Struthio camelus: one gene and its partners. The protein of the gene in region 3 purifies or fractionates together with the protein of the main gene of each other region. This does not show direct contact. Links are inferred from orthologs where the notes say so. Each region holds a gene or a part of one and is shown on either strand. Other genes may lie near its edges.

Region 1 (6,965 bases), on a different chromosome or scaffold from region 3:
CCAGGTCCTCCAGCGCCTGCTTGCAGAGTGGCACGGCTACCTCGTAGCGTCCCTGTGAGGCGTACTGGATGACAAGGTTGTGGAGGGTACGCAAGCGTGCGGGGATCTCATAGCCTCCCTGCTGGGCAGCTGCCACTGCACTGCTGTGCTGGTGGGGCACTGTGGGCACAGATGAGTAAACGGGGGCAACATTGGGCACAACGGGTTGAAACAGAGGTGGTCGGCAACCATGCATGAGCACAAACACTTACATCCAGGACCGTGCTCCTCCTCCTCATTGGGGAACAGATCATCCAGAGAGTCCTTGGTGGAGTCGCCCTCCTTCTCCTCCTGGAAGAATGGGGATCACGATGCTGTTGGTTCTCAGAGGAGGTGGCAGCAGCCTGGGCCAAATCAGCTGCCAATCTCTCCTCTCCACTGCAGCCCACCAAGGCCCTCAGCTTCCTTGTGGCCTCTGCCACCTTTCCCCTCCCACCCAATGAAGCCAACACAACATCCCCCAACGCACCCTGGCACCCTTCCCCACGTTCTGCCCGAGACCCTGCCCCATGCGGTCTCCCTTTAGTTGCAGCCAAGTATTGCCGGGCAAGGAAGCCAGCAAGGGACAAGGCTATTAAACCTAGGCAATCCCACTGGTCCCAGCCCCCTGCACAAAGGCAGCTGTTCCCCCAGACAAGAACATACCGAAGGAGAGACATCCTCATCATACTTCTTCAGCTGGTTCATGAATTCAAGGTGTTTCTTCTCTTCCTCCAGCTGAGCCACGGTCTGCTCACTGCGCTGCAGCTTCTGCTGGGTGTTGGCGAGTTCATCACGCAGCCACTGGTTCTCCTGGCACAGTCTCCGCACCTGAGCGCGCAGCTTCTGCTTCTCCGACTCCACAGCGTTCAGATGGTTGGACAATGCCATCATCACCTTGCCAAAAGTCCCAGCTGGCCAGTCAGTACCTACCACAATCCTGTATCCCCTACAACACGCAAGCTCAGGAGGGCCCACCCTCTGGGTCACCCTGGCCCTCTACCTTCAGCTCTTTGCTGCCCCTGCAGCTTACAAAAAACAGCCAAATGCCTGCCTTCCCCATCAGTTCTTGCTACCACCTACGAGGGCACTCGCCACTCTCACCTGAGCTTCTCCGAGCCCCAGTTCGATCATCTCCACTGACTTGCGGAGCAGGTTGGATTTCTCATGCACGAGATTGGCTTCTTCATCCTTCTTCAGGCACTTGATGGTCTCCAGCAAGCTGTGCAGGATGGAGTTGTGTTCATTCTTCAGTGCCTCCAGCCCCTGCATCACCAGCTTGGTGTTGGAAATGATCTCCTCTTGGCTCAGCTTGTCCAGTTTCTCCTCCCTTGGGTACACCATGGTGGACATAGTCCTGCTACCGCAGCCCTACACAGAGAGGGAGACAAAAACCCAGGAGCCTCAGTGCTATTTCAGAGAGCTGCAATCAGACAAGTGTAAGCCTCCTTCAGGCAGCCAGAGACAGGGTACAACTGGTTACCCACACTAAGTCTTTCCCCTTTGTCTTCCCCTCTCCCTTTGGCAGCAGGCAGCTCTCAGGGCACGTGTCTCTGCTTCTGTGGCATGGAGCACTGGCAGACAGGGCAGGTGGCACGCATGGACAGCAGACAAAAAGGCCAGAACAAGCGCTGACTTCCAACACCCCCACACCCCTGGCAGCAAGGAAAGCTGATTTAGCTTCCATTTAAGAGCAGAGATCTGTAGTCGGCAGCTGGGGCTGCAACACGTACACCTCCCGCCCACAAATCACTGATGCGAGGAGGCTGTCAGAGCTCAACGCCTCTTCCGACTGCAGAAGAAAGGGAATAGAAAGTGGAGAGATGCCAGCTCAAAGCTTTCCGCTTCCTCAAATTCCCTAGAAGAGTACCTCTCAGACTGGGAGGCACCTGTGGACTTACTAGACCAGTCAACAAATTCCCTGACCAAATGCGGACCCCGAAAATCTCAGCCCCCGGCACAGAACAGCCCTTGTGGGACACGAAAACACCAACATTGACTGAAGCACGTCTGTGTGGGGAAGTTTACATGCACCAACTGCGCAAGTTATACTAGCGTAACCCTTGTGTGGGTGTTAGCTTAAAACAGCAGCAGCTTTCCCAGCTCCATTTGCCCTGCTGCCAGCCCAAGGACTCCTCAGGATGGCACAAGAACTCTGCACTCCTTCCCCGTCTCACTCTCCCCATCTATACAACAGACAGTACCAAGCCACTGCCTTTACACAGGGGCACCGAGCGCTACAATCCACCACGTTAGCATGACCGCAAGATCCCTGCATAGCAAACTCAGGAGCTAGGGAGAGCCGTGCCTCACAATGCGACGCCCCTCAGCAGGCAGCAGCATCTGCCCAGCGACACCCTTCTGCAGGCCCAGAGCTGGCAGGAGGCAGCGCAAGCTGAGCACCCTGGACCCTGCTGGCAGACTGCCCAGGCGTTACACAGCACTGTGGCGGCGGGACAGGCTGAGGAGCCGCCTGGCGGATTTGTGTTTGTCCTCCTGCAGGACCTATCTCCGCAGGATTTTGAGTAATTTGTTCAGCAGCAGCCTTGGGCCTGGGTTCACAGAGCGAGCAGAAATGCCGCCCTCAGCAAGAATGTCTCGTCCTCCTCGTCAAGCCTCCTCTCCTCCTCAGCTGCACACTTTGCCCAGGAGGGCTCAGGACGATCCCCCAGCTCAGCTACCACCAGTCTTGTCTAGGAGCAGGCCCTGGGCACGAGAGGGGACCAATTTCCTCCTCACTGCAGCAGGGAAAGAGAAGATGGATGGAGCCAGGGCAGATGCTGCGAGCACACACAGCCCATGACACCCCACCCGTCTCCTCTTGGTTAGCCTCACTCCTCCAGAACTTCCTCGAGTTGTTTTACAGGCCCCAGCTCTCCTCTCAGCTCCTCTCTGGTCTCTGTTCCACCCCTTGCAAAGCATAGTGAGCTCTCAATGCACAGCAGAACCCTTACTGAACCTCAGCAGAGCAGAAAAAAACACCATGTTGCTTGAAGACTGGGCTCCTCTTCATACCTTTCAGCAGGAATTGACTGTCCTCCCACACAAAGTCACAATGCTGAATTCATATTTACCTCATGATCCATCAGCAGCACCAGCCCTGTGCAGAAGCTTGTCGTATCCTTCCCTTTTGAGCGTCTGTCATTCCCTGCATGCAGTCACCCCAACCGTTTTGCACTTCACTCCCAAAAGTTTCATCCGGCCTGTGACATTTGCCCATTTGTGTAGGAGAACACAACATGATAAGAACAGCATGGAAAACCTCACTTGAGTCAAGACACAGGGCACAGACTAACAGACTATTGCTTTGGAAAAAAAAAAAAAAAAAAAAAAAAGAGAGGTCTGTTGGGAGTTGGCTGCCACTCACATCCTCTCTTCCAAATTGCTTAACTGCCAGTTCCTAGAGAATCCATCTGGTCCATAATTCCCCAGTTTTTCTTTTTCTCCATCTTTATAAAACATCACGGAGGGTGGGGGGTGGGGGTGGAGGGGGGGCTGGGGGAAATTAAGTGTTAATGCAACAAGAGGAGAAAAACCAAACAAATAAACCCCCAAAACCTAAAATAAGCCTTCTCCCGGTGAGCGCAATTCAGGAAGAGATGTGCAATGATTCCTGGCTCCAGAGGAAGTCAGGGCAGATACCTATCTGCTTCCACCAAAGCTGAGGTAACAACTGCTAAAGGGCAAAACGGACCTGTCACTAGCTTCAACTCAGGAGGGAACTCAGCCCTAGACTCAAAAACAGAGAAATCTGAAAACAGGAGTCCTCTGGAGCAGAGCCAACGCTCAGAGACATGAGGAGGTCCCAGGGACTGCCTCGTACCCAGCATACAGCAAAACTAGAGCTCTGCCCTAAAGCTCACGCAGCTGTGCAGCCTGCAAACGCCTCTTCATCCGTCCCTCCACATATAGGGTCATCTGTGAAACACTGACAGTGTTCAAGGAAGCATTACGGATGCCCCTACAGAGAGGATGAGCTCTTGCTGCCATCTTTGATAAGCACACTACAAACACATGGGAGAGAGGTACACATTATGAATCATGACAAAAAGTCACCATCAGAACTTGCACCTTGCTAGATAACAGAGTCAGACAAGACCCAGATCCATATGAAATCAGCCTCATTAATTCCACCACGCACAGAATTACTCCTTGACTGAGAAGTCTGAGCTGTCTGTTAAAATAGCAGCATCCCGTCTTTCTTCAGCCTTTCCAGCAGAAAAAGCTGAGAGCATTTCACAGTCCCCACAATTAACTTTCTTTCACAACTTTCAACGTTTCAGAGTGTCTGAGAAGGGAAAATAAGCAAAACGTGCTGACTTAGGGCACATCAGACTTAACCTACCCTGGAAGTGCATATAATGATCCTTGGATCCTCAAGACATACTGATATCCCTTATCTCTTCGGCTGTGCAAATACCTACGCAGCCCTCACCTTTCTTCCCTAAGAGGTGTGCAGACTCCGATATCCCAGACACGCAGCTCTGCTAGCTACCAACAGGCTTAGCGCCCAACTCTGACTTCCCGTGCAAGGGTGGTGGCGGGGGGGGGATTGTCTAGGCTGGACACTCCCCCGTAAGGGCATAAGACCAGGCAACAGCACTCAGGCTGTCCTATTCCCCTCCCAAGTACTGACAAGGAAATAAAGAGAGAACTGCAGAGGAGTTGCTTAAATGCTGCTACCTCCTGCACAGGAAAGAAAGCCCACAAACGCTGGTGAGAGATGGTTTATTATCCCTCCAAAGTGACAGTTTGTCCTTACAGCACCTTATTTCTAGCTCTCCCCAGTGCCGGCAGGTCTACGCCCAGTGCACAGCCCTCAAGAGAGCAAACACGCTCTATGGCAACCGACACTAAGGTCAAGCAGGCTGAGGCTGCTGTGTAAGCACTCTTCCCACTCCCACACGCTCAGCAAAGGGAACCGAGTGCCTTTTGTCCAGGCAGAATATCCACTCAGAGACGGGGAGACACCACCCTTTACCTTTGGAAGGGGGAGGCTCAGGCCGGGCAGTTTGGAAATAGGAAGAAAGGGTGCTTTTCCAGTGGGCATCCTTGGGAGCTGGAGTGTCCAGCTCCCAGTTTCTCCTGCTGGCTCCCCTACGGCTCTGCGGGTGCTGCAGCCCAGGTCTCCAGCAGCATGTTTCTGCTCTACTTGGCACGTCTTCCCTATTCGCAGTAAGCTGCTGGAACAGTCTGGCTTTTCAGCAATACGGGTCTCCCCTCCCCTCCCCTGCTCTCCTTTGGAGGAGCGCTGCAGGAGGACAGGGGAGGAACATGCGTGCACCAAGCTTTCTGGCAGTCGCAGCAATGAGCTGGGAATCCACCAGCTGGCATGTCCTGCTAGGCAGGAACCTTCCTCCTCGATTCAAGTGTATAACCAGGCAATTGCTGAGCATCAACACTTTCATCAGCCCACTTTTCTGCCTCTGAAAAATGCTCCCACGTGCAAGAGCTTTAAGAGGAAAGCTGGAAGCTTCACTGCTTGTGTCTTAAACCCACAACAGCTGCCACATCAGAAACTAGGATGCCAGACTAAACGGGTCTAGATCATGATGCCCAATGCTGGAAGACCACAGGGAGCAACAAAATTATCACCAGGAAAATCAGGTGTCAACTACAATAAGAACAAAGACTTGAGTTGGTCATTGCCTGCACCTCTACACGTGCCTCTACAAAGTCAGCTCCCTTCACTGTCTCCCCAGATGTCCCCGGACAAAGTGTGTATCAGACACAGGGCAGTGTCAAGACTTGCACAAGCAACACTGTCAAGACAATAACTGCAGCTTCCTTCAAGCCATGGATTGCCTGCCAGTCCTTTTTGTATAGGAGCAAGTAAAAATTTTAGCAGCACACTCTTATGTGGGAAAAAGCAATATAAGGATATGGTGGCAGTAGAAAAACAACTGGGTTTCGGGGGTGGGGAGAGAAGGAAAGGAAAACTTTCTGTGGGAAGGAATAAAACTGATTCTTAGTGAGAACAAGAGACCAAGTTTGGGAGATGGATAGCAACAATAGTGTTTTAGAGATGGAAACATGGGACCTGAAGTCTTATTTTCACAATAATCATCCCAGTCATGTGCTGTGGGACATGCCTTCACTACCTGGAAAATGAAGAAAGCTATGCATTTGGGAAGCAAACCATAACTTGATAGAGGCAGGGAGGTTTTTTTCCTTTGCACCTCTGCAAGCTCATTACTGTTACACAACACAATAAAAGATCTCTGGGAAGACTGGTCAAACTCCAATTAAGCTGAGACTGAAATCTGCAATTGCAGAGCCTCCACTCCTAAGGGACACTGCAACAACACCCAGACCTAATGCCTTAGACATTCAAAAATAAAATAACAACAATAAAAAGCAAACAGAGTCCCAGGGTTGCAACCGTCCCAGAGGCTGTGTCACAAGCACAAGCTTTCTCCTGCTTTTTGTCCTGTGGCATCAGAAAGGAAACAGACAGAGGCTAGGAAGCTCCTGCTGCAAGGCCAGGAAACATTCACACCGTCACATCACTACCAGCAGAACTGCTGCGGCCAGGGTCGTCGCCCCACGTGAGCTGTGACAGTGCCACGGAAAAGGGACCGCACACTGGTGCTGCCAAGTTGCACGTGACAGGCGGTGTGTCCAGAGCTGCTCTGATAGGGGGAACACAGGAAATACGATCAGCTCTGTGTGGTGCCCAAGAACTTCACAGCTCCGAGCAGCTGCAAGCACACATGTTGAAACTTCAGAAACAAAAGCAAGAGAAGGATGTTTTGCAAGTGAAAAGACAGATGGGCGTACAATCAGCTTCAGGGTAACAGTTAAGAACTGCTACAGCTAGGAATAAGAGCCAGAAATTAAAGGACAGATGCTGAACGGCTAACAGTAAGGTCTGCAGAAATAATTGCAGTATATGGCTCCCTGCTGGGCTACATGCCTGCTGAGGCTGCCATTCGTGGCAGGGGGCA
Region 2 (7,402 bases), on a different chromosome or scaffold from region 3:
CACAGGTTCTCCTGGGCCAGGCGGGTGGCCTGCGCCCGCAGCCGCTGCCGCTCGGCCTCCAGCGCCCCGACGTGCGCCCACAGCCCCAGCAGCAGCTGGGGGCAGAGGGAGGGTGTCGGGCACGGATGGGGCACCTGGCACCTGCTCTAGCACCCAGCTCTGGCTCCAGCACCCATCCAGGCTCCAGCACCTGGCTCTAGCACCCAGCACCTAGCTGTAGCACCCAGCATCCATCCCAGCTCTAGCACCCAGCACTTGGATCTAGCACCCAGCTCTGGCTCTAGCACCCATCCCAGCTCTAGCACCCAGCTCTGGTACCCAGTACCCATCCCAGCTCCAGTGCCCAGCTCTAGCACCCACCACTCGGCTCTAGCACCCATCTCAGCTCCAGCACTTGGCTCTAGCACCCAGCTCTGGTACCCAGCACCCATCCCAGCTCTAGCACTTGGCTCTAGCACCCAGCTCTGGTACCCAGCACCCATCCCAGCTCTAGCACTTGGCTCTAGCACCCAGCTCTGGTACCCCGCACCCATCCCAGCTCTAGCACCCAGCTCTGGTACCCAGCACCCATCCCAGCTCCAGCACTTGGCTCTAGCACCCACCACTTGGCTCTAGCACCCATCCCAGCTCCAGCACTTGACTCTAGCACCCAGCTCTGGTACCCAGCACCCATCCCAGCTCTAGCACCCAGCTCTGGTACCCAGCACCCATCCCAGCTCCAGCACCCAACTCTAGCACCCAGCACTCAGCTCTAGTACCCAGCACCCATCCCAGCTCCGGTATCCAGCTCTAGCATCCAACTCCAGCACCTGTCCCAGCTCTAGCACCCAGCTCTGGCTCCGGCACCCACCCTGGCTCCAGCAGCCAGCGCCGTCCCAGCAGCCCACCTCTAGCACCTAACACCCACCCAGCACCCACCCGCCCGCCGCGTACCTCCGCTTCGTCCAGGCCCAGCTCGATGCCGTCAAGCGAGCGCCGCGCCAGCTCCCGCTTCTCGGCCAGCAGCTCCGGGGTGTCGCAGGGTGCCCCCGGCTCCAGCACCCGCAGCAGCTGGCGGCTCTCGGTGCGCAGCGCCTCCAGCCCCTTCACCACCTGCCGGGTGCCCGTCACCAGGGCGTCGGGTGCCGGGCGGCCCGCCGGGTCCCCGCCGGGTGCTGCCATGGGGCTGTCGAGCCTGCGGGAGCGGAGGGGTGGGAGGGGGTCACCGCGCTGCAGGGATGGGTGCTGAGATGGGCACGGGTGGCCGGGCTGGGCATGGGTGCTGCTTTTGGGCACAGGCGTCATGCATGGGTGTCATGCATGGGTGCCATGCACGGGTGACATCCATGGGTGCCATGCACAGGTGTCAGAGCCAGGCATGGATGTCACGCATGGGTGCTGGGCATGGGTGCCATGCACAGGTGCCAGTGGTGGGCATGGGTGTCAGGCACGGGTGCTGTAGGCGGGTATGGGTGCTGGGCTTGGATCCCATGCACGGGTGCCGAAGCCAGGCATGGATGTCTCTTATGGGTGCTGGGCACAGGTGCCAGAGGTGGGCACGGGGGTCAGGCATGGGTGCTGGGCACGGGTGCTGGAGCTGGGCAAGGGTGCCATGCATGCGTGTCAGAAGCAGGCATGGGTGCCATGCACGGGTGCCGGGCACGGGTGCCAGAGGTGGGCATGGGTGACATGCACAGGTGACATGCACGGATGCCAGAGGTGGGCATGGGTGTCATGCACGGGTGTCATGCACGGGTGCTGGAGGCAGACATGGGTGCTGGCCCTGGATGCACGGGTGCCAGAGCCAGCCATGGATATCTTGCACGGGTGCAGGCACGGGTGCCAGAGCCGGGCAGAGGAGCCTGCACCCAGCAGGGGTGCGGTGCCCCGGGGCGGCTCTGCCCGGGTGATGCGGCCAGCGTGCCCACGCTCGCCCACGGGCGCCACGTGCAAAGGCCTCGTGCACCCACGCCCCAGCTCACGTGCGCCCACCTTGGCCCACACGTGCAGCCTGGTTTTGCACACGTATGTGCACGCGCAATGCCCCCCTCCCCCAGCCCAGCCACCTGGCCTGGCACCATCTCCAGGCTTGCACGCTCGCGTGCATACTCTCAGCCCTCGCCCGGGGCTTTGCACAAACCCGGCTTTGTGTCACCCATGTTGCACTTGTGCGTGCACACAAAACCTCGACTTTGCATTCGCATGTGTGCACACAAGCTAGCTTTGCACACACAATCACACGCCCGGGCGTGCACAACTGGGCTTTGCACACACAACCTGCCTTTGCACTCACGCGTGCATGCCCCACCTGGTTTTGCAATGGTGCACGCGCACTAAAACCGGGCTTTGCACTCGCACGTGCACGCCACCAGGCTTTGCACGCGCATGTGCCTGTACGACTGGGCTTTGCACGCACAACCCAGCTTCGCACGCCCACGGGCCCACACACCCGGGCTTTGTGGGCAGAGGCACATGCGTGTGCCCCCCCCCCACTTTGCACGTGTGTGCGCGTGCAAACGCAACCCCCCCCTTCTTGCACACCGGTGATCACACCCGCCCCCACCTTTTGCGCACCCTTGCACGCCCGCGTGCACGCGCCCCCTCCCGTGCACGCGCCCCGCCCCACCCCCGGCAAGCGCATGCGCACACGCGCCCATCCCCCTTGCACGCGCGCCCCCCTCCCTTCGCAGTCGTGCGCATGCGCACGCGCCCCTCCCCGGCCCCCCCTCCCGGCCCCCCCCGCGCGCATGCGCACGCGACCATCCACAGCCCCCCGCCCCTCCCGCGCGCATGCGCCGTGGGTCCCCCCGCCCCGCCCCGCCCCGCCCCGCCCCGCGCGCGCCCCCCGGCCCGGCCCCACCGGCGGTGGCGGCACCGGGCGGAGCCCCCCGGTCGGCTCGGGCCGAGCCAGCGCAGCGCACCGGGAGCGGGAGAGCCCGACGCCCCCCCCCCCAACCCGCTCCCGGACCGGACCCCCCCCACACACACACACACCTCTTCCCCCAAAACCGGACACCCCCTCCCACCTTCAAAACCGGTATCTTCCCTCCCCACCCCCCCCCCGGGAGCGAAACCGGCGGCCCCGGCTCGAACCGGCCGCCCGTACGCACCTGCCGCCGGGCTCCGGCATCGCCGCCTCCCCCCCCTCCCGCCCCTCGGCCACCGCCGCTCACCTGCGGCCGCCGCCGCCCCACAATGCCCCGCGCGCCGCCCCCGCCGCCGCCATCTTGGGCCGCCTCAGCGGGAGCGGGGGGCGCCCTGAGGCGGCCCCGGGAGAGGGGGGGGCACCGCCGGGGTTAGGGGGCACCCCAAGGACAAGGGGACCCCCCCAGTGCTATGGGGCACCCTATTGGCACCCCCGTCCCACCCTGGGGGGCTCCGGACCCCCCCCCGCCCACCCCAGGGGCACCCAGACCCCCCCATACCCACCCTGGGGGGCTCCAGACCACCCCCTGCCCACTTCAGGGGCACCCAGACCCCCCCCATACCCACCTTGGGGGGCTCTGGACCCCCCCCGCCCACCCCAGGGGCACCCAGACCCCCCCATACCCACCCTGGGGGGCTGCAGGACTTCCCAATGCCCACCCTGGGGTCACCCATACCCACCCTGGGGAGCTCCAGACCCCCCCGTGCCCACCCTGGGGTCACCCAGACCTCCCCATACCCACCCTGTGGGGGTTCCAGGCCCCCCCATGCCCATTCTGGCGTCACCTAGACCCCCCCATACACACCCTGGGGACACCCAGACAGCCCCCCCACGTACACTCCGGGGGTACCGAGGTGTCCCTCACCCCCCCCACCCTGCCATGGGTGCAGGTGCCCTGCCCTGCCTGGGGGGGCACCCACAGCCCAACATCCCCCCCCACCATAGCACGGGGAGGGGGGCTCGCCCACCCCTGGGTGCCTGGGGCCACCCGGCGGGGGGTACCCCACTCCCTGCCTCGGTTTCCCCCGCAGGGCCCCATGCGGGGTGGTGGGTGCCCTCACAGTGTCCCCGCCGCCTGGCCCTCCCGGTCCCCCCGTGGGGGTCCCCAGCACCCGCTTCCCCCCCGCCCCACCGCCCGGCCCGACACCGGATCCCCGCGGGTAACCGGACCCGGCCTAAAAATACCGGGTGGGGAGGGGGGGGGAGGCTCGTCCCCGGCTAGAATTGCCCTGATCCAGCGGATCCTTCCCCAGGGTCACGGCACCCGCTGGGTGTCCCCAGCACCCTGACCTCCCCCCCCAACCCAGCACCCACAGCAGGGACCCCACGCCCTGGGGGTGTGGGTGACATGGGGGACGGGGCGCTGCTGGCACCCTCCGCGGCTATTTTGGGCGTGGGGATGGCTTGTGCCACCCACCGGTGGCCTCCCCGGCCTGGGGACGGGGGTGCCACCGTGTCCCCAAGGGGCACCCGTGGACCTGGCGCTGGGGGAGGTGAGGGGGGAGACCCTTGTGGCCGGCCTCTCCTCACCTGGGTCTCCCCCTCTCTCTCCATCCCTCTCTCCATCTATCCCTGCCTCCATCTCCCCTCTCCCGCCACCGTTCCTCCATCCCTCCTTCCATCTCCCCATCCCTCTCTCCCTCTATCCTCTCTGTTCATCCATCTCTCCATCCCTCCTCCATCTCTCCATCCCTCCTTCCATCTCCCCATCCCTCTCTCCCTCTATCCTCTCTGTTCATCCATCTCTCCATCCCTCCTCCATCTCTCCATCCCTCCTTCCATCTCCCCATCCCTCTCTCCCTCTATCCTCTCTGTTCATCCATCTCTCCATCCCTCCTCCATCTCTCCATCCCTCTCTCCCTCTAGCCTCTCTGTTCATCCCTCCATCTCTCTCTCCATCCCTCCATCCTCTTTTCATCACGCCACCCATCCCTCTCATCCACCGCCACCTCCTGCCATCCTTCTCCCTCCCTCCTACACCTCCCTCCATCTCCTCTACCCCTCCGCTGCTCCCTCATCCGTCCCACCATCCCTCTCTCCCTGCCTCCGTCCCTCTCCCTTCCTCCCTCCATCCCTTCCTCTCTTCCTCCATCTCCTCCTGCCATCTCTTCTCCTCCCTCCCTCTCGCCATCCCTCCCACGCTCTGCCCGGCCCTCTCTCCTTTCCCTTCTCTCTCCCTCCATTTCCTCTCTCCATCCCGCCCTCCCTCCACCCTCTCCCCGTCCCGCACCCACATCCGCGTGTGCGAGGAGGGGGCGCAGCGGGCAAGGACCGGGGTGCGGGAGGTGGAACAGCGAGCCCTGTGCAGGGTGCCGGGTGCCCACGCAAGGTGCAGGGTGCCCATGCAAGGTGCAGGACACCTATGAAAGGTGCAGGGTGCCCATGTTGGGTGCAGAACACCCACTCAAGGTGCAGGACACCCATGTAAGGCACAGGGTGTCCATGCAGGGTGTAGGACACCTGTGCAAGGTGCAGGGTGCCCATGTAGGGTGCAGAACACCCATGCAAGGCACAGGGTGCCCATGTGGGGTGCAGGACACCTGTGCAAGGTGCAGGGTGCCCATGCAAGGCGCAGGGTGCCCATGTGGGGTGCAGAACACCCATGCAAGGTGCAGGACACCCATGCAAGGCACAGGGTGCCCATGTGGGGTGCAGGACACCCATGCAAGGTGCAGGGTGCCCATGCAAAGCACAGGGTGCCCATGTGGGGTGCAGGACACCCATGTGGGGTGCAGGACACCCATGCAAGGCACAGGGTGCCCATGTAGGGTGCAAGCTGCCCATGTGGGGTGCAGGACACCCATGCAAGGTGCAGGACACCCATGCAAAGCAGAGGGTGCCCATGTGGGGTGCAGGACACCCATGCAAGGTGCAGGACACCCATGCAAGGCACAGGGTGCCCATGTGGGGTGCAGGACACCCATGCAAGGTGCAGGGTGCCCATGCAAAGCACAGGGTGCCCATGTGGGGTGCAGGACACCCATGTGGGGTGCAGGACGCCCATGCAAGGTGCAGGACACCCATGCAAGGCACAGGGTGCCCATGTGGGGTGCAGGACACCCATGCAAGGTGCAGGGTGCCCATGCAAAGCACAGGGTGCCCATGTGGGGTGCAGGACACCCATGTGGGGTGCAGGACGCCCATGCAAGGCTCAGGGTGCCCATGTAGGGTGCAAGCTGCCCATGTGGGGTGCAGGACACCCATGCAAGGTGCAGGACACCCATGCAAAGCAGAGGGTGCCCATGTGGGGTGCAGGACACCCATGCAAGGCACAGGGTGCCCATGTGGGGTGCAGGACACCCATGTGGGGTGCAGGACACCCATGCAAGGCACAGGGTGCCCATGTAGGGTGCAAGCTGCCCATGTGGGGTGCAGGACACCCATGCAAGGTGCAGGACACCCATGCAAAGCAGAGGGTGCCCATGTGGGGTGCAGGACACCCATGCAAGGTGCAGGACACCCATGCAAGGCACAGGGTGCCCATGTAGGGTGCAGGACACCCATGCAAGGTGCAGGGTGCCCATGCAAAGCACAGGGTGCCCATGTGGGGTGCAGGACACCCATGTGGGGTGCAGGACGCCCATGCAAGGCTCAGGGTGCCCATGTAGGGTGCAAGCTGCCCATGTGGGGTGCAGGACGCCCATGCAAGGTGCAGGGTGCCCATGTAGGGTGCAGGGCACCCATGCAAGGCACAGGACACCCATGGAAGGCACAGGGCGCCGTGCAAGGGCGCGCGTGCGAGGGCCGGACGCAGCGGGCGCCTGGCTGGCCCAGCGCCCGGCCCCACCTCGCGGCCGTATTTCAGGGCCGGGCAGCTGCCGGGCAGGGTGCCCGCTGGCCACCCGCCGCCGCTGAGGCCTGACCCGCTCGGTGCAGGGGGGGCCTGGAGGGTCCCGGTGAGGCCGGGCCCATCGCACCGGGGCTGCCTGGGGCCCTTCTGCCCTCCCTGGGCCTGGTTTTACCCCCCTGGTCTTGGTTCCGCCCCTTGGTCTTGGTTTTGCCCCCTAGGCTCAGTTTTACCCTCCCCAAACCCCGGGTTTGGTTTTGCACCCCCCGGTCCTGGTTTTAACCCCCTGGGGTCGGTTTTCCCCCCCCGACCCTCGTCCCAGCTTTACCTCCCTAGTCCCGGTTTTGCCCCCCCCCCCCCGCCCGGTCCAGCTCGATGTAACCCAGTGGCGGGTGGTACCGGCCCCCCCCGGTACCCCCCGGTGTCCCGGGACCCCCCGATGTGCCGGACCCCCTGGTGCTCCGGGACCTCCCCCGTTTCCTGGACCACCCCGGTGCCCCGGACCCTCCGGTGGCCCCGGACCCCCCGGTACCCCCCGGGGGCGGGCCGAGGCGGGGGGGCGGCGCGGCCTCGGGGCTATAAAGGCCGGTGCCCGGCCCCGCTCCCCGCCGCCGCCGCCGCTGCCGGTCCGACCCCTCCGACCCGACCCGACCCGACCCGACCCGACCCGACCCGTTCGTCCGCGCCGCTCAGGTAACCCCGCGGCACCG
Region 3 (7,765 bases):
ACAGAAGCCTCCATCAGGCTGCTCGAGGGCAATAGCAGACAAGGGAAGCAAATATACATAATAAATAAAAAGAGGCTCAACTCACTGTTCAAATGGCAGACAATATCACATGTAGCTGTAAACACAGAAATTCTAATAAACAGTTGAAAGCAACCAAACATACAGCTTATGGAGAAATGTTTTTAGAAACCATTTCATGAGAAGAGCTGCTTCTTTTACTGTCCTCCCTTTAGCAATTCCACAAAACACAGGCAAGATGTGTTTGGATAGCTATATCCTCAGGTTGGAAGGTAACTTTTTAAAACTTCAGTCAACTAAAAACAAAACAAACAAAACGAAAAAAAAACACACAGCAGAATCCCAGAACATCAATCCTCTATTAAAATAAGACTCGAGTACCATCACTGCTCCCATAATCTAATGGGTTTTTTTCAGTATTTTCTCCAAGGTCAGACACAGCAAGTCTTGGACCTGAGATCACTGAAGGATTTTTTGTTTTTTCCTCATGCAGAAAACACTAAAACTAGACAAAGTTATAAAAAATACCAGCTCCCTACCAAATCCCAGCAAGAGCCCTGCATTTTCCTTCAGGACCATGACATCACATTGATCCACACAGATTTAGTGCCACCTCAGCCCAATTTACATTTTAGACATTTTAAAGAGTATTTAAAGACTATCTAAACACTATAAAAGTTTTCTCCTCAATTCACAAACAACGAGAAATTCTAGTTTTAATGTTTGGTAGTAAATGCCTTAAAAAAATTTTAAATTGTCTAATTAAACTGTCTAATTGTGAGAAGCAGACTATTGCAGATGAGAATGCAGAAGATTCTATTCAACCTGCAACGCATGGGTGGAAATAACATTTTAAAGTCCATTCCAGATCACCTCCTTTTTCTTATTTGATGTGTACTTCATTAGAAACGGCTGTAATTTAGCCCAAGAATTACTGAAAGAAAAAAAAAGATGTGGAAAATGCATCATCTATGAAAAAGTCAGAAAAAAAAAAATTGTGAAATTAATCCTGGATTTTAAAGAGATCATACAGTGTCACAATGAATGGATACTCATTGATGGAGTGAGATCATTTGTTCTAGTTTTCCATTTCTAATTTCCATTTCTAGGCTTAGTTCCTTACTCTGAGGAGTTTACCTGTACCACCTCAGTCAGAAGAGGTCTACTCCAAGTTAACAACTTGTCAGCTGAAAGAGGCCCAAATTTACCTCATTTCACAAGCACTCTAGTTTTCTTGCAGCTGAGAACTGATGGAATTCCATATTGTATTTGCAAAATCAGTTGAATTCAAACAGAATAAAGCACTAGTATTTAATATGACATATTTAAAAAAAACTGATGCTATTAATGTCTTCTTCAAAGTTCAGATACTGTGAGAAAGAGGTAGTACTGGTAACCTTAACAAAGAGAGTAACAAAAACAAAATTTAAAGAAAAATAATCAACTGACATTTCTAAGTTCTGCGTTTAGCAATGCAGAACCAGGATCGTCTCTAGAGAATGATTAAAAGTTAGCAGAGATAGAACACAAGCATTGGGAATAAAGCGCGTATTTGCAGAATACCAACTAAACCAGGCAATAAGCTACTGTGCTTTATGTTCCAGCTCCACTTTGTAGCTAAATGTGACACAATGAACAGCAAGGCTAGGACTATCTTCTCCCCTGAAACTTTCAGATTGCTATGTAAAAGCTCTCATACCTTATTAGATGACTTACGTTAAAACGCATTCATAAACATGTAATAAGTCAAAAAGTCTCAGTTCATTCTTCTTTAAAAGAAGTTATCAGCCCATGACTGATTTACAGATCAGTCAAGCAGAGCTCACGTTGCTGCGCGTTTTCTTTCTAAAATCTTTCTGTTGATAATTACGTCGCTGCTAGTTCCAATGCACACTTTTTGAACGACTATTTATTCAGCGGCCAAACTCTTCACGGTGGCCAAAACCAGGCGCAGCCTAGCCAGGGGACACTCTGCAGGACTCGTCTGTTGCTCCAGCTCCTAACTCGCACGTCTTCCGTGGCCACAGTGAAGCCTGCCCTGTGGCTCGGGCTCAGCAACGACAACTCCAGTTACGCCCCAAGTTGCAAGCCTTTTGCTAGAGCCTTTGTCCATGTTTCCTGACCTGCTACCACGGGAACGTCCTGCAACCACACATGCACGGCCAGGGGATGCACCCCCTCCAACCGCTCCCCGAGCTCTCCTCTCTGCCCCGCCATGCCCACCTCCATCCTAGCCGGTTCTCTTTACCGCTCTGCCCTGCCCTCCTCCCCTTCCCACTCCCCCCCACCCCAAAACAGCCACCCCTCTCCGCCGCGGCCCAGCCTCTCGCCTCACACCGCGCCCATCCCCGCGGTATGTGACCCCACCGCCCGCACACCCCCTCCCCCCGGCGCCTTCCTCCCCACCCCCCGCCTTTCCCATCCGGGGCGGCCCCTCACCGCGATGACGACGGTGTCTTCGCCTTGAAACTTGGCGACGTACTTGTCGCCACGGGCCACTTCGGACTCGTTGAGGGGCCTGAAGCGACACATCACTTTGATGTTACACTCCGCCGGGTCCGCCATCTTAGGCCAACGCCGCCGCCTCCGGGGCGCTCAGCTCCGCCGCTACCCGCTGCTGCCTCTGCGCCGCCCGCTCCGGGGGTCTCACAAGCCGCCGTTGCCGCCGCTGCCGGGAGGCCCGCGTCCGCCTAAGCAGAAGGGAAAAGGGAAGGGCTCCTTCCTGGCCGCCACGGCCGCCTCCTGCTCTCACTTCCTCCCCAATATGGCAGCCATGGCGGCGCCTGCAGCCGGCAAGTCCCGACCCTCCCCTCCCGGGCAGAGGCGGCGCGGACGGCAGGGCAAAGAGGCGGTGACGTCACCCTCTGCAGAACCCCCCCCCCCCCAACCCCGCCCCCTCGGCTCGGAGGTGCCGCGCAGGCGCGGCGGGGCACAGGCGAGGGGCCCGGCCACGACGGGAGCTCGACGGCGCAGGCGCGAAGCCGTCGCTGGGGAGGAGGGAGGGAGACCACCCGGCGGGAGGATAGGCGTCGGGGGTGCCAACGCTCGCACCGGGCAGGCGCAGCCAGCGCGAGGGGGCGTGGTCTTGTGGGGGCGTGGTCTTGTGGGGGCGTGGTCTTGTGGGGGGCGTGGTCTTGTGGGGGCGTGGTCTTGTGGGGGCGTGGCTCCCTCCGAGCCTGGGGAGAAGGGTGTGATAGGGGCGCGTGTGAGAGCTTCGTCCCGCCCGCTGTACCTAGCCTGACCGTGGCCGTGACCGTGGCCAGCGTCCCCCCACCCCCCCGCCCCCGCTCCCCTCACGCACGCAGCGGAGCCGTTTTGCGGGCGCACGGCCGGGGCTAACGTTGGCCACGGTACCGCATGGCGGGAGACCTCGTCTCCCTGAGGGGCCGGGGCCCTCAGGGGCCGTTAGCCCTGAGGGGACGGGGCGCGCGCCTCAGGCAGGCGGCGGCGTTCCCGCGCTAACGGCCGGCGCCGGGCGCTTCGTGGCTGTGAGGGGGGGGCGCGACACAGCCCTCTGCCTGCGGCCGGGCCGGCCCTCCAAGGCAGGGCGAGCCTGAAAACTGACCTACCAGCTTTAGCGGGCGTGAAGTTAAGGCGCTGGAGAGAGAAACCTCCGAACTGTCTTGACTCTTTTTTGCCTTTGTTCAGCAGAATTAAAAAAAAAAAAAAAAAAAGCATGAGTATGCACAGAAAGCCTGCCAATGGAACTGTCAGTATTTTCAAAATTTCCCCCGAACTAATTCCTTTTCCGGAAACCTATGGAGGTCTTGTGGGGCTAGGGAGTCTGCAGGTCACGTTCTTAGGAGGGCGTTGCAAGGATACACAGCCTTTACAGTTCGTTTCCCGTGAAGAAGTCTCTCCCTACCTTTCCGTTCCAATGAAGAAAGAATATGCACGATAGTTTTCTAAAGTTTCCTTTATCACAAGTTTTATTCAATACAGATTAAATAGAACTGCAATGCTAATCCATGGATATTTACTGACGGTATCTAGATTTAAAAAGTTGTTAGGTAAGCCATTCAGATCAGAGGCTCTCAGAAGAGTTTCAAGATTTTACTGCCATACCCCTTTACATCTAGGTATAATATGAACTTTCAAACCGGGTCAAAGTACAGATTTACAGCTCAGCTCAGTAAGTCAACTTCCTGTCAGAAATCGCCATCTGTGCTGGAAACTTTTAAAATGGCCTTGAAATTAATGAAAAATGAGGGAGTCCTCTTAAATTAGTAAATTTTAGTAGGCCAGAACGACTCAGAATAGCAATGTCATTCCTTTGAAAGTACTCTCTTTTTCATTAGAAAAGGGTACATGTTTGTGAATTTTAATAGGGACCATCTGAAATCAAGCAGCCTCCATTTTCAAGGCCCTTCTTACTGCAGGGTTTTGAATGGTGTGTTTTTACTTAGTATAGGTAAAGAAGGCGGATGTTGCTTCAAAATTTCTCCATGCTAATCCACATGGCAGGAAAGTTACCTAATAACCTAATTTCGTCTACAGCTTTTTTTCATACTGTCATAGAAAAAATATTTTTTGCACCTTGTTTGATGTTCTGAGGTAAGCTCTAAGTCTTCTAAATTGAGATCATGTTGTAACAAGTTTATTTTTCTGCTGTAGTTAAAACTGCTGCAGGACTATGCCGCCTTGATCGGAGCAGCAACAATTACACCACCCAACCTACCAGCGCTCTTTAGCTGTTTGATAAGGCCAGGCTGTATACTCCGCCTGCAGAAGGTGCACTGCTGCCCCACAGCATCTAGCATATGATGGTTCTGCTTAACTGTTTCAATGAAACGTATTGTCAATAAAATATAATGGTGGTTCTCCTTAAAATGTGAGAAAGCCTATTTTTGTTGAATTCTATTTTAGAATTTGTGAATTTAAATCCCAGTCAGCAAGATATATTAATATGTCTAACTCAACTATTTCTTGGACTGTCCACGTGCTTATGGGTAGGCATATGTTTGTACAGCTGCTGGGTTTGGATCCTTACAGATTTCCTGTGACAGGAGGTTATTATTTTTATGAAGGGCACATAAACTATTTACTACTTTTGCAATTCGTTTTCTTTAATAAGTGAGGAAAAATAAATGTTAGCTGCAAAATCAACAACTTCATGATTATTACTCCCAGAATGTTTCAGCTGGTGATGTATCCTTTACCCTAGTCTATTTGGGAAACTTGTCATTATCATTATCCACAACCGAAGGGGATATATCATTAGCTACATTTGCTGACACACAGTACTCAAAGTAAGAACAACTCGGTAAAGGAAAAAAGCTCGTAATGAAATGGTTCTCGAGAAAATAAATGCTTAGGCCTGCTTATCTTTTCAATGTTTCAAACAGCATACACTTTACAAAGAGACAGTATAGACTCGTGAATAGGTAGTTGCTCTTTTTAATTATGCTGTAACAAAAAAATACCGGGATGTGTGAACTGTGTAGAAGGATCTGACCGCTTCTAGGCTGTTGGTTCCATGCAAGCTCGTGGGAGACCGTGGTTGACGGTATCTCCCATACTGGCTATGGGAAACCTTACTAAATGAGTTCCCTTGAACTAAACATGCGTGTTCTCGTATTCATTCCAGGTATTCGGTCATGAAGATTGTCTTCTGTGGTCTGCTCTTCAAAATGTTCAGCAACCATTCTTTTACGTGACCTATTTACAGTCTAACAATGCTGCAGCATATTCAAAGAGAGCAGTGTGTTATCTCTGTTGGCTCTAAAATAGGATATCAAACAGCAGTCTTGATGACTTGTGCTTAAAGATGTGGTGCCGCTTTCCCAAAAGCAGGGCAGAGACCAAATGTCCTGCCAAGTTTCCAATTTTGTCACGATGAAAAAATTCTCTTTCATTTTTAATTGGAAATATATTTTACTTCTTCTGGAATATGTAATTACCTGTTTATACCATACTTTTTCAATTATTTAGGGTGAAAGACCGTTTAAAGTCTGTTATAGTGAGAAAATATGGCATATTAGTTGTCATTAAAAAGTGAATCTTTCCATCTGATACTTGAGCCTCATAAGTGAAATATATTTTCTAAAGAAACAATTTATCTAATAAACAAGTATAGTAAAGTTTCTCAGTAAAGACCAACGTCTTTTAATAAAAGTAGTTTATCTAACCACTTTATATCTACTAGTTCGCTATGTTTCTTCTCATCTATGATCTGTGCAATAATCCTCTAGAAATTCTTTTATGATTTGCAGTTCCTTTAGATCTCTAGTATCTTCCTGGCATTAAAAGATCAGCATGTTCAGCAAAGGGGCTTACAGTGAAACTCTATCTGGATATTGATGTAATTAACCATGAAAATTGTTTTGGCAGAGTGACAGTAATCTTGATTTGATCTTAAAAGAATATTGCATATTTGGATAAATCTTTAAAGCAGGTGTTTGCAGAGAAGCAAATTAAAGCTGCTTCCTCCTGCCCCTTAAAGAATGAAATTCTGAGATGGTAGATTCATCAGTTGACAGTACTTGTTGAAATTCAGTGTTCCTGATGCAAACACAAGTGCTCTTTTCATTTTGATTTGCAATATGCTGGAAAAATATAGCACACTACTTTTCAGAATCTAAGGTGCATTCTAGGTCAAGTTTATTCTGAATTTGTAAATCGACTTGTAGGACAAATGGGTGATTAGTTTGCTAGATGTGCTGCACTTGGAACAAAATTCTTTGTTACGTGTAACACCCTCTGTCAATAAAGGTTCTTAAGATAATTTGTGAAGTCTAGTGTCATTGCTTGACACTGGAAAAGCCTTCATTAGAAGTAACAAGATTTTATTTCAGACAGCTTATTCAAATACATTTTAAAGTCTCTTTACCAGCAAACAAACTGAGCGTGTTCAGTCAATTCAGCTTGGGGAACTCAGTAGCTAACTAAGCTGAGATTAACAGAAGGTTGAATGGGTGAAATTCAGTGGCCTAAGATACTACTGGAGTCAAACTCGATTATCTAAAGGTCTCATTCAGTTATAAAATTATAAAGCTTCCTTTTGCTCCACCAAATGATTCAATGTTGGAATGTGTTTCCTGTCCCAGTCAAGTTTAGGCTTTAGTATGAACTAGCAGGATGAAACATGCATTGAGGATGCAGCTCCTGATGCACATAAATTTCTTGTCATAAGTATGAGTAATTATTTTTTTTTTTTTACTAGAAAGGCATAAAATGCAGAAGTTGACCTCTAATTTACTCCTAATTACTAAGACCATATTTAATTGTTTCTAACAATATTAGACCAATTAAAAGCAAAATTAAGCTCCAGGAATAACATATGTTTATTTTGGCTACTTTATGCAAAAGCATGCAAAAATTCTGTAAGCTTACTCTCTAAAGCATTGATTCTGAGTCTTATTTGGAGAAGGGCTATTCTAATTTCTTTTTCCATTGCTTGTAATCTCTGCTAAAATCACCACTGGCTTGTATTTTTGCTTGCTGTGTGCTTGCCTCAAGCAATTTTTTTTTTTACAGTGGCAGCAAAAATAGCGTAGTGGTTTTTGAGAGTAAGATTAGAGATACATTGCTTGTTGTTGTTGCTAAAGGAAAATTATTGTACAAGTTATAGCAGTGTTAACCTAAGGATTGAAATTTCATAGGGAAATCCATGTCAAGGCTCTACTTTTAATCATGTAAAACTACTCAAGCCTGTCCATATCATAAACAACCTTTGAAAAAACGGCATATGAACGTATTCTTTAGAGTGCTTCCTATTGAAGCTTGCACTGGAAGTAAAACCTCCAAC

What was found. The genes of interacting proteins can lie anywhere in the genome.
Region 1: the proteins of KIF5B (region 3) and KLC4 purify together in Homo sapiens (affinity purification with mass spectrometry; 4 studies listed by BioGRID and IntAct, with this or other methods). This does not show direct contact. The link is inferred for Struthio camelus from reciprocal best matches to the Homo sapiens genes KIF5B and KLC4.
Region 2: the proteins of KIF5B (region 3) and KLC3 purify together in Homo sapiens (affinity purification with mass spectrometry; 3 studies listed by BioGRID and IntAct, with this or other methods). This does not show direct contact. The link is inferred for Struthio camelus from reciprocal best matches to the Homo sapiens genes KIF5B and KLC3.

The regions. Positions count from the first base shown.
Region 1 is NC_090944.1:148,108,914-148,115,878, reverse strand, and holds the start of KLC4 (kinesin light chain 4), read right to left. Parts: upstream 3,120-6,965; 5' UTR 3,105-3,119; coding exon 3,093-3,104; intron 1,811-3,092; exon of another isoform or gene 1,506-1,810; intron 1,390-1,505; coding exon 1,123-1,389; intron 916-1,122; coding exon 685-915; intron 331-684; coding exon 252-330; intron 160-251; coding exon 1-159.
Region 2 is NC_090957.1:1,405,534-1,412,935, forward strand, and holds the start of KLC3 (kinesin light chain 3), read right to left. Parts: upstream 3,120-7,402; 5' UTR 3,110-3,119; coding exon 3,090-3,109; intron 1,175-3,089; coding exon 934-1,174; intron 96-933; coding exon 1-95. UniProt on the Homo sapiens protein: Kinesin is a microtubule-associated force-producing protein that may play a role in organelle transport. Plays a role during spermiogenesis in the development of the sperm tail midpiece and in the normal function of spermatozoa.
Region 3 is NC_090943.1:17,079,954-17,087,718, reverse strand, and holds the start of KIF5B (kinesin-1 heavy chain), read right to left. Parts: upstream 3,071-7,765; 5' UTR 2,584-3,070; coding exon 2,458-2,583; intron 2,310-2,457; exon of another isoform or gene 2,248-2,309; coding exon of another isoform or gene 2,242-2,247; exon of another isoform or gene 1,747-2,241; coding exon of another isoform or gene 1,735-1,746; intron 1-1,734. UniProt on the Homo sapiens protein: Microtubule-dependent motor required for normal distribution of mitochondria and lysosomes. Can induce formation of neurite-like membrane protrusions in non-neuronal cells in a ZFYVE27-dependent manner.